Linked DNA regions of Macaca mulatta. The protein of the gene in region 1 interacts with the protein of each later gene in a pairwise test. Links are inferred from orthologs where the notes say so. Each region holds a gene or a part of one and is shown in the gene's direction. Other genes may lie near its edges.

The links.
Region 2: the proteins of TSC22D1 (region 1) and NTAQ1 interact in binary tests that used the Homo sapiens proteins (3 or more experiments, as listed by UniProt). The two-hybrid records come from large-scale screens. The link is inferred for Macaca mulatta from reciprocal best matches to the Homo sapiens genes TSC22D1 and NTAQ1.
Region 3: the proteins of TSC22D1 (region 1) and CCDC90B interact in a two-hybrid assay, tested with the Homo sapiens proteins (2 studies listed by BioGRID and IntAct). The link is inferred for Macaca mulatta from reciprocal best matches to the Homo sapiens genes TSC22D1 and CCDC90B.
Region 4: the proteins of TSC22D1 (region 1) and APLP1 interact in a two-hybrid assay, tested with the Homo sapiens proteins (2 studies listed by BioGRID and IntAct). The link is inferred for Macaca mulatta from reciprocal best matches to the Homo sapiens genes TSC22D1 and APLP1.
Region 5: the proteins of TSC22D1 (region 1) and SETDB1 interact in a two-hybrid assay, tested with the Homo sapiens proteins (2 studies listed by BioGRID and IntAct). The link is inferred for Macaca mulatta from reciprocal best matches to the Homo sapiens genes TSC22D1 and SETDB1.

Annotation. Positions count from the first base shown.
Region 1 is NC_133422.1:23,894,627-23,898,976, reverse strand, and holds the start of TSC22D1 (TSC22 domain family protein 1), read left to right. Parts: upstream 1-1,531; 5' UTR 1,532-1,692; coding exon of another isoform or gene 1,693-2,442; 5' UTR 2,443-2,796; coding exon 2,797-4,350. Other genes in the region: uncharacterized protein LOC106994248, read right to left, coding at 800-1,003, 1,693-2,442. UniProt on the Homo sapiens protein: Transcriptional repressor. Acts on the C-type natriuretic peptide (CNP) promoter. Acts to promote CASP3-mediated apoptosis.
Region 2 is NC_133413.1:133,855,532-133,859,110, forward strand, and holds part of NTAQ1 (protein N-terminal glutamine amidohydrolase), read left to right. Parts: intron 1-1,067; coding exon 1,068-1,216; intron 1,217-1,824; coding exon 1,825-1,949; intron 1,950-2,735; coding exon of another isoform or gene 2,736-2,818; exon of another isoform or gene 2,819-2,840; intron 2,841-3,579. UniProt on the Homo sapiens protein: Mediates the side-chain deamidation of N-terminal glutamine residues to glutamate, an important step in N-end rule pathway of protein degradation.
Region 3 is NC_133419.1:83,821,795-83,826,042, reverse strand, and holds the start of CCDC90B (coiled-coil domain-containing protein 90B, mitochondrial), read left to right. Parts: upstream 1-1,444; 5' UTR 1,445-1,810; coding exon 1,811-1,910; intron 1,911-4,248.
Region 4 is NC_133424.1:47,114,981-47,119,048, forward strand, and holds the start of APLP1 (amyloid beta precursor like protein 1), read left to right. Parts: upstream 1-1,245; 5' UTR 1,246-1,308; coding exon 1,309-1,455; coding exon of another isoform or gene 1,456-1,502; intron 1,503-2,284; coding exon of another isoform or gene 2,285-2,340; coding exon 2,341-2,484; exon of another isoform or gene 2,485-2,528; intron 2,529-3,374; exon of another isoform or gene 3,375-3,485; coding exon 3,486-3,618; intron 3,619-3,825; coding exon 3,826-3,938; intron 3,939-4,068. UniProt on the Homo sapiens protein: May play a role in postsynaptic function. The C-terminal gamma-secretase processed fragment, ALID1, activates transcription activation through APBB1 (Fe65) binding. Couples to JIP signal transduction through C-terminal binding.
Region 5 is NC_133406.1:116,154,944-116,158,522, reverse strand, and holds part of SETDB1 (histone-lysine N-methyltransferase SETDB1), read left to right. Parts: coding exon 1-55; intron 56-332; coding exon 333-449; intron 450-3,579. UniProt on the Homo sapiens protein: Histone methyltransferase that specifically trimethylates 'Lys-9' of histone H3. H3 'Lys-9' trimethylation represents a specific tag for epigenetic transcriptional repression by recruiting HP1 (CBX1, CBX3 and/or CBX5) proteins to methylated histones.

The DNA of each region.
Region 1 (4,350 bases):
TTTGAAGGCTTCCCCTTGGAGCAAGGGGAAGAGTTCAGCGAAAACTAAAGGTAAAAAGTTGAATTGACAACTAGAGGTGTATCAAAACTGCAAATGACAATCGTTTTTGCTTTAACAATCTTCTGAAATAGGAATGTAAATCCGTGAGATTTCCTGAATCAGAGGTCTAACCATAAGCGCCGATTCCCCTAACCTAAATTTAACAAAATGAAAATTCCTCCCTACAGCTTTTGGGCTTGCTTTATCATTTTTAAATTCCTGGGAGAGACGGACATTCTCGATTATTGGTAAGAAATGCTTAGAACTAGGTTTTGACATGAAATGCCAATAAAGTAACTGCCAGTAAATTGCCCCCAATCAAACCTAACATTGCTTCTGTAGAACTATAGTCGGACCCATGAAATGTAATATGTGTGGGTGTGTGTTTTAAAACTGGAATTTCTGATGGCTTTTTCTTTTCTAGCCCTAAAAGGCATGCTTATCATTTGTGTTGCTCACATGTCCGGGCCACCTTGCCTCTTGAGTCAAACCAATGGGGATATAGCCAGGACAATGAACGAAAAAGGCGTCGCTGCTTGGAGACACCTGTTGAGATCAGTCGTTTACAGGGCCGGCCTGCCTGTGTCCTCCAGTTAAGGATGCATTGCAACCACTCCTCGTTAGAGAAGAGCCTACCCCAGAGGAGCTAAGGCAGTTAACTGGAAACAGCTGCAACATCTGTCCGGTTGCCTCGCCCCTGCCCGTGGAAGGGCGAGGAGACCGCATGGCAGCAACTGCACTGCACAAAAGACAACACCTATCACTGGGAGCCACCGGCCTTCCGTAGACCCCGCAGCTCCCGGCGCTGGGGCATCCCCCGAGGAGGCGAGGGCCGGGGGCGAGCCCAGGTGCGGCGAGGGGGAGGAGGTTTCCGCCACGCGCCGGGGAAGAAAGCCTGACTCATGTCGTGGCAGCGGCGGCGGCGGCGGCGGGCTCCTGGGAACTGAAACTCGTGATGCTGTTGCTGCGGAGAAAAGCCTCATTACCCATTCCGCAGGCGGGGGACACCACCCAGGGCGCGCACACCAAGCGCCGGCGCTCCCGCCGCCTCCGCCGGCCCTTCCGCGCCGCGCCCCCTCCTCTGCCGCGTGCCCGCGCGCGCCGGCCGCGAGTGTGAAAAGAGCGGACACACCTAGCCTGCGCGCGCGGCAGGCGCGCACCCTGCCCACCCCCACCGGGCCGAAGCAGGCAGTCCGACCCGGATTCGCTCCTTTGGCCGAAATTCCCCACCCCCACTATCCCCTCCGGCTCCACCACTCCCGGCTTCGGCGCCTCCGCCAGCCTTCGGCAATTTCCGTCGGGAGACCCGGCGCTCGCACAGGCCCGAAGATCCGCCGCCTCCTGCCCCGCCAGACCCGGCTTTATGTCTGCGGCGCCGAGGCGCATGCGCAGACGCCATCTTCCCTCCTCCTCCTCCGCCTGCCCCCTCCCCCTCCACCACCGCCTCCTCTCGCCGGCGGTCGCCCCTCCTCCTCCTGCGCTCCGCGCTGGTCCCTCCCCTCCCGATGCCGCGAGAGACTGGGGGATACGGTAGAGCCGGGGGAGCCGAAGAAGAGCACTAGTAACAACCACCATAGCCCCCTCCCCGCCCGACACCCTCCCTCGGCACCCACCCACTCCCCCGCCCCGTTTGCCGACACCGACCAACCCCACCTCTCGTTCCTTTGAACGGCGTCGGCTGCAGTCGCTGCACCAGCCCGTCTGGCCACCAACGCCGCCGAGAAAGGAGCCGCCGCCGCCTGTGGCCCCCTCCCGCTCGGTCGCGGGAGCAGCGGGGTGAGGAAGAGCCGGCTGCGGAGGAAGAGGACAAGAGAGGGTCGCACCCTCCGCCCTAGCGCACGTCCCGCCGCCCTCCGGGGAGGCTCGGGCGCCGGCCCCTTCCTCCCCGAGGACGTGTGCCGAGCCGAGGCGCCTGCCCTGAGGGAGGAAAATGCTCGGGCTCCATGGCTGCCAGTGATGGAGCGGTCCCTGGGCTCCCGCTGCCACCGCCGCCGCCGCGCCCCGGCCGTGCTCCGCGAGGACCCGGCGTCTCTGCGCGCCCGCCCGCGCCTCGTTGCTGGGCTCACCGTACCGGGCGCCCCGCCGCCGCCCCGCTCGCAGCCGCGTCGCCCCGGCCCCAGCCGCGGCCAGCGTTTCCTCACCGAGCAGCCGCCGCGAGCCCAGGGGGTTTGAAAGGGTCTGCGGGGCGCGGGGGGAGGGCCGAGCGGGGCCGGGAGGGGAGGTTTGAGCGACACTGAGCTCGGGGCTCGCCTGCGGCGGCGGCCCCGGGGGTGGCGAGGGGAAGGCGACACTTGCTCGGCGCTGCCTCCGTGCAGAGCGGCCGGGAGGGCTTTGCAGCGGCCGCCGCCGCGGCGGGAGGAGGGGGCTGAGGCGGCTTCGGAGTTGGCCGGAGAAGGTGGGCATTTCTCGCTTTTCCTCCCCCTCCTGCGCTCTCCCCCTCCCTCCTGCCCCGCACCCCACGTGAAACGGAATATAAAGGGGGGTGTGAGGCTACAGGGGAAAGTGAATGGCGAAGGACTGAAGGGGTCCCCCCTTCGGGTCCCCGGCCGCCCTGTTCACCCTCGTTCATCCTCCTTTCCGAAGCTCGCTCTCGAAGGCAGGAGCGACCGGCGCCTTCGGCTGAGGAGGAGGAGAAGGAGGAATCGCGCCAGGCGGAGCGTCAGGTCCCGTTTTCCTCTCCGGCGTCTCGAATACAAAGATTACGGTGCAGAAGGAAATTGCACTCGCCTCCTAGGCCCCCCCCCGGTACCCAACACAATGCACCAGCCGCCTGAGTCCACCGCCGCGGCCGCCGCCGCCGCTGCAGACATTAGCGCTAGGAAGATGGCGCACCCGGCAGTGTTCCCTCGAAGGGGCAGCGGTAGTGGCAGCGCCTCTGCTCTCAATGCAGCAGGTACCGGCGTCGGTAGTAGTGCCACATCTTCCGAGGATTTTCCGCCTCCGTCGCTGCTTCAGCCGCCGCCCCCTGCAGCATCTACGTCGGGACCACAGCCTCCGCCTCCACAAAGCCTGAACCTCCTTTCGCAGGCTCAGCTGCAGGCACAGCCTCTTGCGCCAGGCGGAACTCAAATGAAAAAGAAAAGTGGCTTCCAGATAACTAGCGTTACTCCTGCTCAGATCTCCGCTAGTATCAGCTCTAACAACAGTATAGCAGAGGACACTGAGAGCTATGATGATTTGGATGAATCTCACACAGAAGATCTCTCTTCTTCGGAGATCCTTGATGTGTCACTTTCCAGGGCTACTGACTTAGGGGAGCCCGAACGCAGCTCCTCAGAAGAGACCCTAAATAACTTCCAGGAAGCCGAGACACCTGGGGCAGTCTCTCCCAACCAGCCCCACCTTCCTCAGCCTCATTTGCCTCACCTTCCACAACAGAATGTTGTGATCAATGGGAATGCTCATCCACACCACCTCCATCACCACCATCACATTCATCATGGGCACCACCTCCAACATGGGCACCACCATCCATCTCATGTTGCTGTGGCCAGTGCATCCATTCCTGGTGGGCCACCCTCAAGCCCAGTATCTAGAAAACTCTCTACAACTGGAAGCTCTGACAGTATCACACCAGTTGCACCAACTTCTGCTGTATCATCCAGTGGTTCACCTGCATCTGTAATGACTAATATACGTGCTCCAAGTACTACAGGTGGAATAGGTGTAAGTTCTGTTACTGGCACTAGTACAGTAAATAATATTACTGCTGTGGGTAGTTTGAATCCTAATATGACAAGCAGCATGCTTGGTAATGCTAATATAAGTACAAGCAATATTCCTAGTGCTGCTAGTGTGAGTGTTGGGCCTGGAGTTACCAGTGGTGTTAATGTGAATATCTTGAGTGGCATGGGCAATGGTACTATTTCTTCCTCCGCTGCCGTTAGCAGTGTCCCTATTGCAGCTGCAGGGATGACTGGGGGATCGGTTTCAAGTCAGCAGCAACAACCAACAGTTAACACTTCGAGGTTCAGAGTTGTGAAGTTAGATTCTAGTTCTGAGCCCTTTAAAAAAGGTAGATGGACTTGCACTGAGTTCTATGAAAAAGAAAATGCTGTACCTGCTACAGAAGGTGTGCTGATAAATAAAGTGGTGGAGACTGTAAAGCAAAATCCGATAGAAGTGACTTCTGAAAGGGAGAGCACTAGTGGGAGTTCAGTGAGCAGTAGTGTCAGCACACTGAGTCACTATACAGAGAGTGTGGGAAGTGGAGAGATGGGAGCTCCTACTGTGGTGGTGCAGCAGCAGCAACAACAGCAACAACCAGCTCTCCAAGGTGTGACCCTCCAGCAGATGGATTTTGGTAGCACT
Region 2 (3,579 bases), on another chromosome or scaffold:
AAAATAGTTTTTCCTTTCTTTTAATTGCAAAAGTGGTTCCAAACTAGAAATTAAAATCCTCCTCCTCTCCAGGCTGACCCCCAGAAGCCTGCTTTGTTATTAGTTTGGAGGACATCCTTGCAGACGTTTTCCTCTGCATTCGCATGCATGCAAATGTACTTCTGAATGCGCACATGTGTCTTTATAAGCAGGTAGCTTTTAACAAATAGCAGGTGGGGCCGGCACAGTGGCTCACACCTGTAATTCCAGCACTTTGGGAGGCTGAGCGGGGGGGATCACTTGAGGCCAGAAGTTGGAGACCAGCCTGGCCAACGTGGTGAATCACCATCTCTACTAAACATACAAAAATTAGATGGGCGTGGTGGCGGGCATCTGTAGTCCCAGCTACTCAGGTGGCTGAGGCAGGAGAATCGCTTGAACCCAGGAGGTGGTGGTTGCAGTGAGCTGAGATCATGCCACTGCACTCCAGCCTGGGTGATAGAGCAAGACTCTGTCTCAGTAAAAAAAAAAATAGGTGGAGCTGGGTGCAGTGGCTCATGCCTGTAATCCCAGCACTTTTGGAGGCTGAGGCAGGTGGATCACCTGAGGTCAGGGTTTCAAGACCAGCCTGGCCAGCATGATGAAACCCCGTCTCTACTAAAAATACAAAAAATTATCTGAGTATGGTGGTGCTCACTTATAATCCCAGCTACTCAGGAGGCTGAGGCTGGAGAATTGCTTGAACCCGGCAGGTGGAGGTTGCAGTGAGCTGAGATCATGCCATTGTACTCCAGCCTGGGTGATAGAGTAAGACTCCATCTCAAACAAAAAAGTTTCCTAGAGGTAAAATTGCAGGTTCAGAGGATGTGCATTTAATGACTATGAACATTTCCATTATTTATTTAACCATTTCCCTATCTGTGGACATTTAATGTTTTCAGGGTGTTGTGTTTGCTTTATTTTATTTTGCTATTATAAGGAGGGCTGTAGCAGTCTTATATCCTTTTTAGTGATAATGTGTGTGCCTGAATACTGGGATTTCATCATTATGAAGTAACTTGGTTAACTTTAGCAACTTTTACTTCTAGGATTACCATGTTGTTTTGCTTCATGTTTCAAGTGGAGGACAGAGCTTCATTTATGATCTCGATACTGTCTTGCCATTTCCCTGCCCCTTTGACACTTATGTAGAAGATGCCTTTAAGTCTGATGATGACATTCACCCACAGTTTAGGAGGTGAGGACATTCAGCATGGATTTACTTATTTTCTGAAGTAAGACTTTGACGATTCCCCAGAGGTTCTTTTTTTTGACAGTTGTTTTGTAAAGATCTCGTCTGGCATCACCATTGAGTTGATGTTTAAGAATGATGTATTTGCAACACAGGAGATTGAAAATGTTTTAAAACTTTAAAAGTTATCTATCATATAAAAGGTTGGCATTCTTTTAAAATTTTGTGTGTTGAGATCCCACACATTTAATTTCAAGCAGGTTGGGGATTTTTCTTATACTCTTTTTGTTTGGGGGTTTGTGGGGATACCTGGTGTCACCATTGAGAGGGCTGTGAAGGCAGCATCAGAAAATCATGCCCGTTGCCCTTGATACACAAATTGAGTACATCAAGGCAACCAGACATGTTTTTGTGCCTTTGTCTTTCTGTTTCGGGTTTTAGTTGATCATTTCCTATGCTTCTCTAATAGATAGTAAAGTTGCCTGTGTTACTAACCATACAGAAATGCATGAGTAGTTTTGTACATGTCATAGGAAATGAGTCCATATAAAAATTTGGTTGGAATTTCAAACATGACACCTCCCTAATGTGAGTGTATATTGATTTGTCTGCAGGAAATTTAGAGTGATCCGTGCAGATTCATATTTGAAGAACTTTGCTTCTGACCGATCTCACATGAAAGACTCGAGTGGGAATTGGAGAGAGCCTCCGCCGCCGTATCCCTGCATTGAGACTGGAGGTGAGCCAGGATGCCTTCTCAAAGGGATTCTGATTGATCATGTACACATCAGCATTTTTCTTTAACAGAGGACAAAAGTCAGGTCATTCTTTGAATAAAACTCCATGCATGAATCTCAGCACCTTGGGAGGCCGAGGCAGGCGGATACGAGGTCAGGAGATCGAGACCATCCTGGCTAACATGGTGAAACCCTGTCTTTACTGAAAATACAAAAATTAGCCGGGCGAGGTGGTGGGCGCCTGTAGTCCCAGCTACTCGGGAGGCTGAGGCAGGAGAATAGTGTGAACCCGGGAGGCGGAGCTTGCAGTAAGCTGAGATTGGGCCACTGCACTCCAGCCTGGGCGACAGAGTGAGTCTCCGTCTCAAAAAAAAAAAAAAAAGAAAAGAAAAAAAATTCCATAAATAAGGAGGTCATAGGAAATACTACTTCTGTGTGCGTGTTAGATTCAGAAATCAAGGCACAGGGAATAGGACTGGAAGGCATGAGAACTTGTGGGAGACAAAGTGTGTTAAGGATCAGAAGCATAGCACCTGCAAACTGCTGGATTATTGGATGTAGCTACTGCGGGGACACTGAACATCAGGAGACTCGCATGCTTGTGTCATGTAACAGCGGGACTAGTAGCGCCTTGCCATGGTAGGGTTTTGTGCTATGGTGAAAGAAATCCCCATTGCATCCTTATGATGTGTGAAATGTCACTTTGGCTATATAATAAAATCTGCATTAGAGGGAGGTGAGCGCTAGCAGGTTTGATTGTACCATTTGTCTCATTTATGTGCTTTTAGGTATCAGTCCAGTTGATAATTTCCTGACATTTAAGAAGATAAAGGTTCCTTCACCCTATTACTATTGTTTGGCATTCATATGAGTTTGAAGCATTATTTATGTTTGTAAGTAATTCTCAACAGTCCCACTTAGGGGTGAGATCATCCCAACACCTAGAAAATACAGTCTGTGTAAAAGTGCTCTGTGAGCTCTGCAGCATGTCAGAAAAGTAGGGCAGTAGTGTTAGTACTTCAACAAGGGTCTGAGCGTGGTGGCTCATGCCTGTAATCCCAGCACTTTGGGAGGCTGAGGTGGGTGGATCACCTGAGGTCAGGAGTTCGAGACCAGCCTGACCAATGTGGTGAAACCCCGTCTCCACTAAAAATACAAAAATTAGCTGGGCGTGGTGGTTTGTGCCTGTAGTCCCAGCTCCTTGGGAGACTGAGACAGGAGAATCACTTGAACCAGGAGGCGGAGGTTGCAGTGAACCAAGATTGTACCGCTGCACTCCAGCCTGAGTGACAAGAGTGAGATTCCGTCTAAAAAAAAGAAAAGAAAAAGAAAAAAATACTTTAACAAGGAAGAAACTAAAAAATACATTTGGCATATTTGAGGGAACTAAGAGAGGGTTCAAACTCTGATGTTTGAGGCTCCCTATGAAAAGCTCTCATAATTAAAAAAATTTATATTGGAATTGCTTATTGGTGTACAGAGCTGCTTCCTGGCCTCAGTGTGAGAACTGGGGAAGCTCCTGGTAAGGAGAGGGCTTGAGGGGTCTACCTTAGCATCTCTGGCAACCTGCTCTACAGGGCCTGTCTGGGCACAGTGTGCCTTTAGCAGCTACCTGTTTCCCCTCGAGATGTG
Region 3 (4,248 bases), on another chromosome or scaffold:
ACTCCAGCCTGGGTGACGCAGCGAAACCCTGTCTCAAGACAAAAAAAAAAAAAAAAAGAACACATGGAATTGTGTGTTCATTGTGGTGCCATTCACGATAGCAAGGACATGAAATCAACTTAAGTGCCCATCAACAGTGGACTGGATAAAGAAAATGTGGCACATATACACCATGGAATATTATGCAGCAATACAAATAGGGAAATTATAATCTTTATAGCAACATGGATGGAGTTGGGGGCCATTATCCTATGCAACCTAATACCAAGAACAGAAAACCAAACACACATGTTCTCACTTAGGAGCTAAACATTGACTATATGATGGTAAACATGGAAACAAGAGACACTGAATATCATTAGATGAGGAAAGGGGGAGAGGCACAGAGGGGTGTGAGCTGAAGAAGCACCTGTTGAGTACTATGCTTACATCCTGTTGGGATCGTTGGGACCCCAAACCTCGACATACTCTAGGGTTTTGCTTTTTGTTTTTTGAAACTGGTGAGATTAAACTTTTTTCCCTTTTTTTTTTTTTTTTAGATGGAATCTCGCTCTGTCGGCCAGGCTGGAGTGCAATGGTGTGATCTCGACTCACTGCAACCTCCGCCTCCAGAGTTCAAGCGATTCTCCTGCCTCAGCCTCCCGAGTAGCTGGGATTACAGGTATGTGCCACCACGCCTGGCTAATTCTGTATTTTTAATATAGACAGGGTCTCTTCATGTTGGTCAGGTTGGTCTCGAACTCCCGACCTCAGGTGATCTGCCCGCCTCGGCCTCTCAAAAGTGCTGGGATTACAGGTGTGAGCCACCACTCCTGGCCATCCTAATGTTTTAAATAGCGATTTATATTTCCTCTTCATGAATTGTCTGTTAAAGCACTTGTGGGCGGAAATTAAGTTTTGTTCTTCTTTCAGTGTGCTTCGGGCCTTAGAAATGGTGTTTGTTACGTAGCTCTCACAAAGCTTTGAATACATATAGATAGAAACCTAGCCGTAATTGTTTAGAATCTTGCGAGAATAAGCCACTGCAACCGCACAACTGTGTGCCATTTTAGGATTTACCGAGAATATTCATGAGTATTGGTGCATTTTAATACAACTACTGTGCATTGATGCTTTCAGCATTTTACTATGCGCAGCAAAGTCTTGAGTGAGGTCTGGGAAGGATAAATGGTGAAAAATTAAGGAATTTCTCGCAGAAACGGAGGAATTCATCTTCCCTAAAGAAAGAATATACCGACTAAAATTAGTTGGTCCTCCCGTGCACCAGACGGCGAAGCAGCAGGATGTGACGCTGCACGGTCAGTGAACGACTTGCTGGACTACACTTCCCAGAAGGTTTCTTTGGCCTCCGCACTACGCAATCACCCAGAATGCTCAGCGGCCGAGAACTTCAGGTCCCAGACTGCTGTGCGGCTAAATACGACTCCATCTCCCCCGACCCAAGCGCTTAATGGCCGCTGGCAATCTTGGGGGAGCCAGCTGTTGGACTATGCGCCGCTGCCAGGAAACAGGCGCCAGAAGGTTCTCCGACAAGATCCCGCCTTCCTAAGACGGTAAAGGCGTTCACAGGTCGGGAAGGGGCGGTGGGAGTAGTGGGACAGCGCTGAGCATTGCTCGTGAACTGTGGGTCGGCCTGCGAAGAGGCCCAGTTTCGTGGCACCACTGTGGCGCCCGCGCTGGAAGGTGGTCTTGTGACAGAGCGAAAACTACAATTCCCAGCATTCCTGCGGTGCCAGAACTACCTTGCCCGAAAGCCTGTGCGAGATTTACCCCGTCTTCCGCCTCCCGTCCGCCGGAAAACTCTGAGGCCATGAATAGTCGCCAGGCTTGGCGGCTCTTGCTCTCCCAAGGCAGAGGGGATCGTTGGGTTTCAAGCCCCCGCGGGCATTTCTCGCCGGCCCTGCGGAGAGGTGAGGCAAGGCGTCGTGTCATAGATGTCTGAGTGCTCTCTAGGGAGACGATGCCCGTGGGTCGCGCCTGCTCGAGCGAACGGGAAGAGAAGGTGCCACGCCCTCCTCCCCGATTCACGCCTTGTGCTGGCGACACAGCTGCCTGCTGCCCCGACTTGCCCAGCTCGCCCCAAGGGGCGAGGACTGAGGAAATCAGTGCCTTTCTGTTCTTAAAGCGAACCTTCGAAGGCCAGGGCTTCGCGCCCGGCTTCTTTCTCAGCCCTTGTTTCCCTTTTTTGGTGACAAGAGGCTAGTAATCTGGTAGGTTTGTCTGGAGGCAGCGTAAGGTAATCTGTGCTTGAGGGTGTCCTGATTTCTTTTGTGGCCTGATCTTTAGATTTTGTTTTTTTAGGTGCTGGCCTCGAGCCCAAGTTTTTGGTAGACAGCATCATAAATTTCAGATCACGTCTGCCTTATTCTCGCTGGAATTCTCAGTACTTTTCAGTCACATTGTAGACTTTGGGGAAAAAAGTGAATACTGGAACCTACAAGTTTCCAACCGGTTGGCACCCCTGTTAACAGGGTGTCCTGAAGACATCTAACTTTATTCCGAGAAACGTTTCTAGGGCTAGGTTTTTCTTGTTGTCGTTTTTTACCCCCCGTTTTTAAACTTCCCTCCTAGTTTTTAAACCGTTTTAAGATTGTCCACAAAATAGGCGAATAGGCACCTCTTATCAACCTTAGCATTCTCTGTTCACCTTCTTGAATCTTCAGTGCCAGGTACCCTGAGCCAGTCGGTACCCAAACACTTCCACGCTGTTATTTATGCTCCATATTGTTACTTGTGCTGTTTTGCTCATTGTTTAATTTTAATCCACACCAGTAACAGCTGCAGTCAAAACTGCAGTTGTTGATCATCCGTCTGTAAGATTGCTCTTTAGCTGCCAGGATCATTCACAAGGTCTCTTTTGTTAGGTATTTGGGTGTTTAGCATAAATACACATTATGATGGATTTTACAAAAAGGAGGTAGCACTTTTGAATTCCAGGAAATCATCCAACTTTCATCTTTGTTGACTTTTACAGGTGTGCTTCACATATCCAAATGAAAACAAAATTAAATGTTTTTAGAGAATGAACTTTGAAGTGCATATCATAATGCGAAATACATGACCATAAGTAAATGTTAATGTTTTAACGTAAAAGTTTTCCCACTTGAATCTGAGTGTGCTTGGAGAAACTTTAAATCTCTTCTTACAACTAGTAGGATTTGTGTCCTTCCTCACTAAACAAATATTGAATGTTTATTGTGTACAAGTAGTTTAAACTTGCCTAATAATGTTAATAATCAGGGGATTTGAAAACCTTGACCTCTGACCAGTGGAAGGACCTTAGTTATCATGATGCAACTAGTGTAGCACGTTAGTAGACCAGCAGGTAAGAACATATGCTGTAATGCCTGTTCTATTGAGTTCCTGACAGAAAAGTAACTGACTATACACTGAAGTGTTTCAGCTGTAAAATTAGCAGTAAATTCATATAAAACTTGCAACTTAAATTTATTGGGACAACATTTTACATATTTGTTTGTTTGTTTGTTTGTTTCAAAAGTAAAATTTGACCTTTTCCAGCAAAGAGGAGCTTGGTGCAAGATAGGCCAGAGTTCCAGTCCGCAATCTATGACTTAGTAGTTTTGCCAAACTGGTTAAACCTTTAAACCCTTGAGTTTGTATCTCACTATTACAAACAAACAAATCCGCAAGATATAGCTATCAAAGAATCAAAAGTAGTAACAATGAAAGGAAAGGTTTGGAGTTTTGTACAGATGTTTAAGCCTGTACAAAACTTTTCAGGCTATTAAGGATCTGTTGTTCCACTATGAGCTAGAAACACTGATTCTGGGCACTTCATTTCCCCTACCTATTAATATGGCTGCGAAGACTTATTTATTTATTTATTTATTTATTTATTTATTTTGAGACAGGGTCTCTGTCACTCAGTCTCGTGTGCCTTGGTGCCATCTCGGCTCACTGCAACCTCTGCCTCCCAGGCTCAGGTGATCCTCCCACTTCAGCCTCTCAAGTAGCTGGGACTACAGGCACATGCCACCATGCCCAGCTAGTTTTTGTAATTTTTGTAGGGACAGGATCTTGCCATGTTGCCCAGGCTGATCGCGAACTCCTGGGCTCAAGCGATCCGCCTGCCTTGGCCTCCCAACTGCTAGGATTACAGGCATGAGCCACTGCACCTGGCCTGTAAAGACATTCTTAATGAGCGCTTATGCATTGAACTGCTCATGACCAGTTGGAATAGTGATTATGAAACCCTACTATGAATATCCAATGGTTTTTCCAGTTGCT
Region 4 (4,068 bases), on another chromosome or scaffold:
GTCTGGCTCTATGGCCCAGGCTGGAGTGCAGTGGCACCATCTCAGCTCACTGCTACATCTGCATCCTGGGCTCAAGCCATCCTTCCACCTCAGCCTCCCAAGTAGCTGGGACTACAGGTGCACACCACCACACCCAGCTAATTTTTGTATTTGTTTGTAGAGACAGGATTTCATCCTGTTGGCCAGGCTGGTCTCAAACTCCTGACCTCAAGTGATACGCCTACCTAGGCCTCCCAAAGTGCTGGTATTACAGGCGTGAGCCATTGTGCCCAGTCATGGACTCTTTTAATATACATCTTCATACACACACGCACACACACACACACACACACACACGAGTTGCAAACAGAAAAGACACACACATTGGCATGTATGCACAGACACACGCATAGATGTCCACACAGTTGCACACATGTGACAGGGCTGCCCCAGGGGTCCTGGGAAAGACAGAGTTCTACACTCTCATTAGAGGAGACAAACGAGTGAGCCCTGAAGTGGGACAGAGAAGGAGACTATGGGCATGAAAATGGCAATCCCCTGGTCCTTACAGCAAGGGTGGAGATCCAGACCCTAATCCTGGGGCGCTGCATCCACAGTGGGCATAGTGCTGGTGCCTGCTTGGGTGATCCTTAAAGAAAGGTCCCGGGGGCTTTGGTTCATGGATCCTTGAGCTAGGAGTTAAAGATCCAGGCCCCTGGGACCCTTGGGAAGCAGAGCAGGAAGACTGAACTCCTGGTTCTGAGGGAGAATGGGCTGGGGGCTTGGTCTCTGGTCCTGAGAGAGAAGGTGCCCGGACTTCTGGATCTGAAAGAGGAGGGGACTGGGTCTCAACTGCTGCCATCTTGACGGGACATTTTGGAGGCCTGTATTCCTGAGCCCTCAACAGAGGAATTTACTAGGGGACGGGGGTCTCTGATGCTTGCATCCTTGGAGAAGGACAAAACTGTGAGTGTCTGGGTCTAAAGAGGGTGAGAGTCCTGCGGGAGGACTCAAAATCCACAACGGGCTGAGCCCATAGCAGGACTCCTGGCTGGGCCCTTCATGGGGCGGGACGCCTGGAATCTCCAGGGGCGGGGGCCTGGCGCAGGCTCCCGCCCGGGGTTCCAGAGCTGCTCCACTCTGCGCGGAGCCGCCACGCTATTGTCCTGGCCAGGAAGGCGGGGCCGGCGCGGGGCGTGGCTGGCGGCGCCGGCGCAGCCCGGGGGCGGCGGGAGGAGGAGGTGGCGGCGGTGGCGCTGGGAGCTCCTGTCACCGCTGGGGCCGGGCCGGGCGGGAGTGCAGGGGACGTGAGGGCTCAAGGGCCGGGACATGGGGCCAGCCAGCCCCGCTGCTCGCGGTCTAAGTCGCCGCCCGGGCCAGCCGCCGCTGCCGCTGCTGCTGCCACTATTGCTGCTGCTTCTGCGCGCGCAGCCCGCCATCGGGAGCCTGGCCGGTGGGAGCCCCGGCGCGGCCGAGGTGAGGCCGGGCCGGGTCCTGGGGGATGGGGGAAGGGGCGGGACCGGGTCTTTGGACGCCAGCGCGGACATGTACAGGACAGAAAGCGCGGTCTTTCCAGCCAGGTGGTCAGCCCCCAGGCGCCCCCAACCGCATTTATGAACCCAGGGTTCCAGGCCCCAGCTCCCCCATCCTCCGACGTCCCAGCCCCCTCCCACCCCGAGCATAGGAACTGGTCTATTCAGAGCCCCTGGTCCCAGAAGTCCAGCCCCCTCTCCAGACCCAGGTGACTAGGTCCCAACCCCCTCCCTCCTGGACATAGGACCCACCAAGCAGCGAGGCACTTAGATCCAATAATCCAGACCCCTTGTATTCTCTGGACCCATATGGAGGCCCTTGCAGCCTCCCAGGACCCAGGAGTCCGGTCCTTCAGTCACCACCCACCCCAACCAGATGTAGCTCTCCAGTCCTCAAGGACCTGGTGTCCAGGACTGTAGGCCCCTGAAGCCAGGCCTTATCAGCTTTGCACCCTGCAACCGGAGCCTGAGCAAGGGATGGAGGGAGGAGGGGCCAGAACGCCTGGGTTCAGGCCTCCTCCGCGATTCAGGTTTAACCCCTTCGGGCTCCAGAGCGGCTGAGCTGGGGTCGGGGCGGAGTCTGTCTCCGCGGCAACAAGGCAGAAAGAATCCCGGGGGACCCGGGTCGCCATAGCAACGGGAGAGCTAGGGCGCCCCCGCCCTACGGGAGCTGTTTCCCAGGGAACGGTGCCTCCATGGAGGCGGTGTGCACAACGGTGCTTGGGGGAGGGGGCTGGTGCTGGGGGTCTCGGTCCTAGGGAGCAAAGAACCAGGGGACCCTCATGCCAACGCCCCCCGGGCCCTCATTATCCCCTCCACTTCCATCCAGGCCCAGGGGTCGGCCCAGGTGGCTGGACTATGCGGGCGCCTAACCCTTCACCGGGACCTGCGCACCGGCCGCTGGGAACCAGACCCACAGCGCTCTCGACGCTGTCTCCGGGACCCGCAGCGCGTGCTGGAGTACTGCAGACAGGTGGGCGGGGCCGAGCGGGAGGGGCGGGGCCAGCGGGAAAGCGGGCCCCAAACGAGGCGGGGCCGCCCGTAGAAAGCTACACTTGAAAAAGGCGTGGTCCAAGGTGCCGCGGGATCTAAGACGTGGAAGCTAGCGGACGTGGCCAATAAAGAGGCGCAACTATGCTAGGGCAGGGGACCTGTTTTGAGATACTAAGTCAGGAAAGGGGGAGAACCGCGAGATAGCCAGAGAAGAAGTGGAATTTAGGAATCTGGTGGTCTTTGTAAAAAGCAGAGGTGTAGTGGGGAGTGGCGAAAGGATAGGCGGGGCTAAGACAGAAAGAGACCTTAAGGACCAGCGAGATGGGGAAAGGGGTGGCGCCCAATGAAAGCGCGGAGAGCTGGGGGGCGTGGCCACGAAAAGACAAGTCTGTAATGGGAAGGGAGAGCTTTGGAGAGGCGAAATAGAGGAAAAGGCAGGGCTAAAAGGAGGGTGAGACCTTTGGGGAGACGAATCTGACTGCGGGGAGGGGTGACCAGAGAGGTGGGCTTAGAGGGACCTTCAGAAAGAAACAGCACAGGAAAAAAGATAGCCTTGAAAACGGACCTGGCCGGGCGCAGTGGCTCACGCCTGTCATCGCAGCACTTGGGGAGGCGGAGGCGGACGGATCACCTGAGGTCAGAAGTTCGAGACCAGCCTGGCCAACATGGCGAAACCCTGTCTTTACTAAAAATACAAAAATTAGCCGGGCATGGTGGTGCGTGCCTGTAATCCCAACTACTCGGGAGGCTGAGACAGGAGAATAGCTTGAACCTGGGAGGAGGAAGTTGCAGTGAGCCGAGATTGTACCATTGCACTCCAGCCTGGGCGACAAGAGCAAATCTCCGAAAGAGAGAAAGAGAGAAAGACAGAGAGAGAGAGAGAAAGGAGGGAGGGAGGGAAGAAAGGGGACCTGACTACTGGAGAGGGGTGGCTGGCAGAGGCGGGGCTGTGGGCTGATTGCCCCCATTTAACCCCCCCAGATGTACCCGGAGCTGCAGATCGCACGTGTAGAGCAGGCTACCCAGGCCATCCCCATGGAGCGCTGGTGCGGGGGTGCCCGGAGCGGCAGCTGCACCCACCCCCACCACCAGGTTGTGCCCTTCCGCTGCCTGCGTGAGTCCCAGGCGGGGAGAGGGGAACTGAGGTGGGAGTTTCCGAGGGGCAAAATTCTGAGCCCCTCTCTCGGGCCCACATTAAGGGGGTGGGTGCTTGTGTCCTAAGTGGGGCAGAGAAGCCTCTGAGGATAAAATATCTGGATTCTGAGGAGGGTGGGGTTGGTGCTGTAGGAGGGTCTCACCCTGGTGTCCCGTGCTTCCCCAGCTGGTGAATTTGTGAGCGAGGCCCTGCTGGTGCCTGAAGGCTGCCGGTTCTTGCACCAGGAGCGCATGGACCAATGCGAGAGTTCAACCCGGAGGCATCAGGAGGCACAGGAGGTCAGGACCTTGGCCCACCCGTCCCCAGCCCCCAGAACCCAGGAACCAGGACCCCAACACCCTCCTCCACCAGAACCGAGGGTCTGGGCCACCAGTATCCTCTTCCCACTTGGGATCTAAGAATTTCATC
Region 5 (3,579 bases), on another chromosome or scaffold:
ACACAGGCCCTGAATTTCTGGTTGGCTGTGACTGCAAGGATGGGTGTCGGGACAAGTGAGTTGGTGGGGAGAATTGCTGCCCCTGCTTCCAACTTTGTTATGGTTGTCTTCCTTTTCACCTCTTCCTTTCCCTTGTATCTGTACTGCTTTCCCCATCTTCCTTTACCTCCTCCCTCACCTGGAACTCGTGCTATAAGGCCTCCATGAAAGCTATGAGGTAGGGAGACTGGAGTCTGACATGGCCACACTGAGCAACCCTGGGTACATGTGTATTGTGTTATTTTGTTCTCTGATCCCCCCGCTCCTTTCCTTTATTTCTCTCTGTCATATAGGTCCAAGTGTGCCTGCCATCAACTAACTATCCAGGCTACAGCCTGTACCCCAGGAGGCCAAATCAACCCTAACTCTGGCTACCAGTACAAGAGACTAGAAGAGTGTCTACCCACAGGGTAAGTGGTCAAGGAATAGCACAATACCTCAGAGAGACTGAGGAGCATGTTCTTGTTTTTCTCTGCTTATAGAAATCATCAGAAATCTAAAAATTGGAACCAAAAATAGAATACCAGAACAGGCATTTTTTTTTTTTTTTTTTTTTTTTTTTTTGAGACGGAGTCTCGCTCTGTCGCCCAGGCTGGAGTGCAGTGGCCGGATCTCAGCTCACTGCAAGCTCCGCCTCACGGGTTTACGCCATTCTCCTGCCTCAGCCTCCCGAGTAGCTGGGACTACAGGCACCCGCCACCTCGCCCAGCTAGTTTTTTTTTTTTTGTATTTTTAGTAGAGACGGGGTTTCACCATGTTAGCCAGGATGGTCTCGATCTCCTGACCTTGTCATCCGCCCGTCTCGGCCTCCCAAAGTGCTGGGATTACAGGCTTGAGCCACCGCGCCCGGCCTAAGAGGCATTTTATTAATTAGATCTTATTTCCTGACTTCTCAAACACTTTTTTTCTTGGGCTTTCCTTGAAATGAAGACATAGGATGATTGAATAGTGTCTAGCAATTTTCTGTTGCAAAAAAAGATTATCTTAATTTCATAGCTAAATGAATGTCTTAACAGATTATGATTTACTCTTGTAAGTGACGTGTTCAGAGAGAAGTAGGCAGGGACTTGATTACATAGGGATTTATAAACCAGAATGAAAAAAGTTAGAATCAGGCTGATACAGTGGCTCACACCTGTAATCCCAGCACTTTCGGTTGCCGAGGTAGGTGGATCACCTGAGGTCAGGAGTTTGAGACCAGCCTGGCCAACATGGTGAAAGCCTCTCTCTACTAAAAATACAAAAATTAGCCAGGTGTGGTGGCGGGCGCCTGTAGTCCCAGCTACTCAGGAGAGTGAGGCAGGAGAATCGCTTGAACCCAGGAGGCAGAGGTTGCAGTGAGCCGAGATCGTGCCCGTGCACTCCAGCCTGGGTGACAAGAGCGAGGCTCTGCCTTAAAAAAAAAAAGAAAGAAAGAAAAAAGAAAAGTTAGAATCAAATTCATGGTGCTCTTAGAGAATTTTAAGCAGCCAAGTGATATGACCTACCTTTTTCAGATTACTCTGGCTTCTTTGTAGATCATAGGTCTTAGGATGGCAAAAGTAGATCTTGGAAGACCAATTAGGAGATCATCATAGGAGTATAGCAGAGAAAGACATGGTTGTAGCTATGGCTTGCAATAGAATGGAGGTGACAGTAGAGGTAAGAAGGATAGATTTGGGATGCATTAATAGATCTACAGAATTGGATAGATTGTGGAGTCGGGGGAAAAAGTAGAAGCAAAGACAATTCCTAAATTTTTGACTTGAGCATCTAAGTGGTTTTTGGTGCTTTTTACTGAGATGGAAGACCAAAGGAGTAATAGGTTTGAGTGAAATTCAGTTTTTGTTTTGGCCATGTTAAGTCCGAAATGCCTGTCAGGCAATCCAAGTAGAAACGTCAAGAAGGCACTGGGATTTCTGGAGAGAAGTGTAAGAGTTGGATATAAAAATTTAGGAATCATCAGCACAGGAATGATATTCAAAGCCTGGATGAGTTCACCTAGACACAACGTTGATAATAGAGAAGGTGGCTCAGGAGTAAGCCCTGGGTCCGCCAACATTTAAAGGTTGAGCAGAGGAGGTAGAACCAGCATGAGTTTGAGGACAGCTACTGAGGAGGGCAAGGCCGAAAGATTGCTTGAGGCCTGGAGTTTGAGACCAGACTGGGCAACATAGTAAGACCCTGTGTCTAAAAAAAAAATTGTTGGGGCCAGGAATGGTGGCTCACGCCTGTAATCCCAGCACTTTGCGAGGCCGAGGCAGGCAGATTGCTTGATGTCAGGAGTTCATGACCAGCCTGGTCAATATGGTGAAACCCCATCTCTACTAAAAATACAAAAACTAGCCGGGGATGGTGGCGAGCACCTATAATCCCAGCTACTTGGGAGGCTGACACAGGAGAATCACTTGAACCCAGGAGGAGGAGGTTGCAGTGAGCCAAGACCGCACCATTGCACTCCAGCCTGGGCAAGAAGAGTGAAATTACATCTCAAAAAAAAAATGGTTGGCCAGGCACAGTGACTCACGCCTGTAATCCCAACACTTTGGGAGGCCAAGGTGGGTGCATCACCTGAGGTCAGGAGTTCAAGACCAGCCTGGTCAACTTGGTGAAACCCCATCTGTACTAAAAATACAAAAATTAGCCAGGCATGATCACGCACGCCTGTAATCTCAGCTATTTGGGAGGCTGAGGCAGGAGAATCACTTGGACCTGGAAGGCAGAGGTTACAGTAAGCTGAGATTGTACCACTGCACTCCATCCTGGGCAACACAGCAAGACTCTGTCTCAAATAAATAATTTAAAAATAAATTTTTTTTTTTTTTTTTTTTTTTGAGATGGAGTCTTGCTCTGTCACCCAGGCTGGAGTGCAGTGGCGTGATCTCAGTTCACTGCAAGCTCCACCTCCCGGGTTCACGCCATTCTCCTGCTTCAGCCTCCCGAGTAAGTAGCTGGGACTACAGGCACCCGCTAATCCAGGCCTGGCTAATTTTTTGTATTTTTAGTAGAGACAAGGTTTCACTGTGTTAGCCAGGATGATCTCGATCTCCTGACCTCATGATCCGCCCGCCCCAGCCTCTCAAAGTGCTGGGATTACAGGCGTGAGCCACTGTGCCTGGCCTAAATTTTTAAAAAATTAGCCGGGCATGGTGGGTGCATGCCTGTAGTCCCAGCTACTTGAGAGGCAGAGGCAGAAAAATCACTTGAGCCCAGTAGTTCAAGGCTGCAATGAGCTATGATCACGCCACTACACTCTAGCCTGGGGTGACAGAGCGTGACTCATCTTTAAGGAGGAGGACAACAAAAGAGTGGAGTATAGCATGGTAAATTGGTATATATAAACACGTGAACTAATAAACATAGTGATCAAGATACATAATTAACAAAACAGCGAGGAGAAAAGCATCAGTGAAGTAATTCAGAAAGTGTCCCATAATTGAAGGGTCTGTGTTTCTGAATTGAAAGGGCCAATTAGGTCCCAAAATAATGAAGGATAAAGGTAGATTCTCATTTAGAGACATTATCATAAAATGTCAGAACACTGAGGGGAAAAAAAATCCT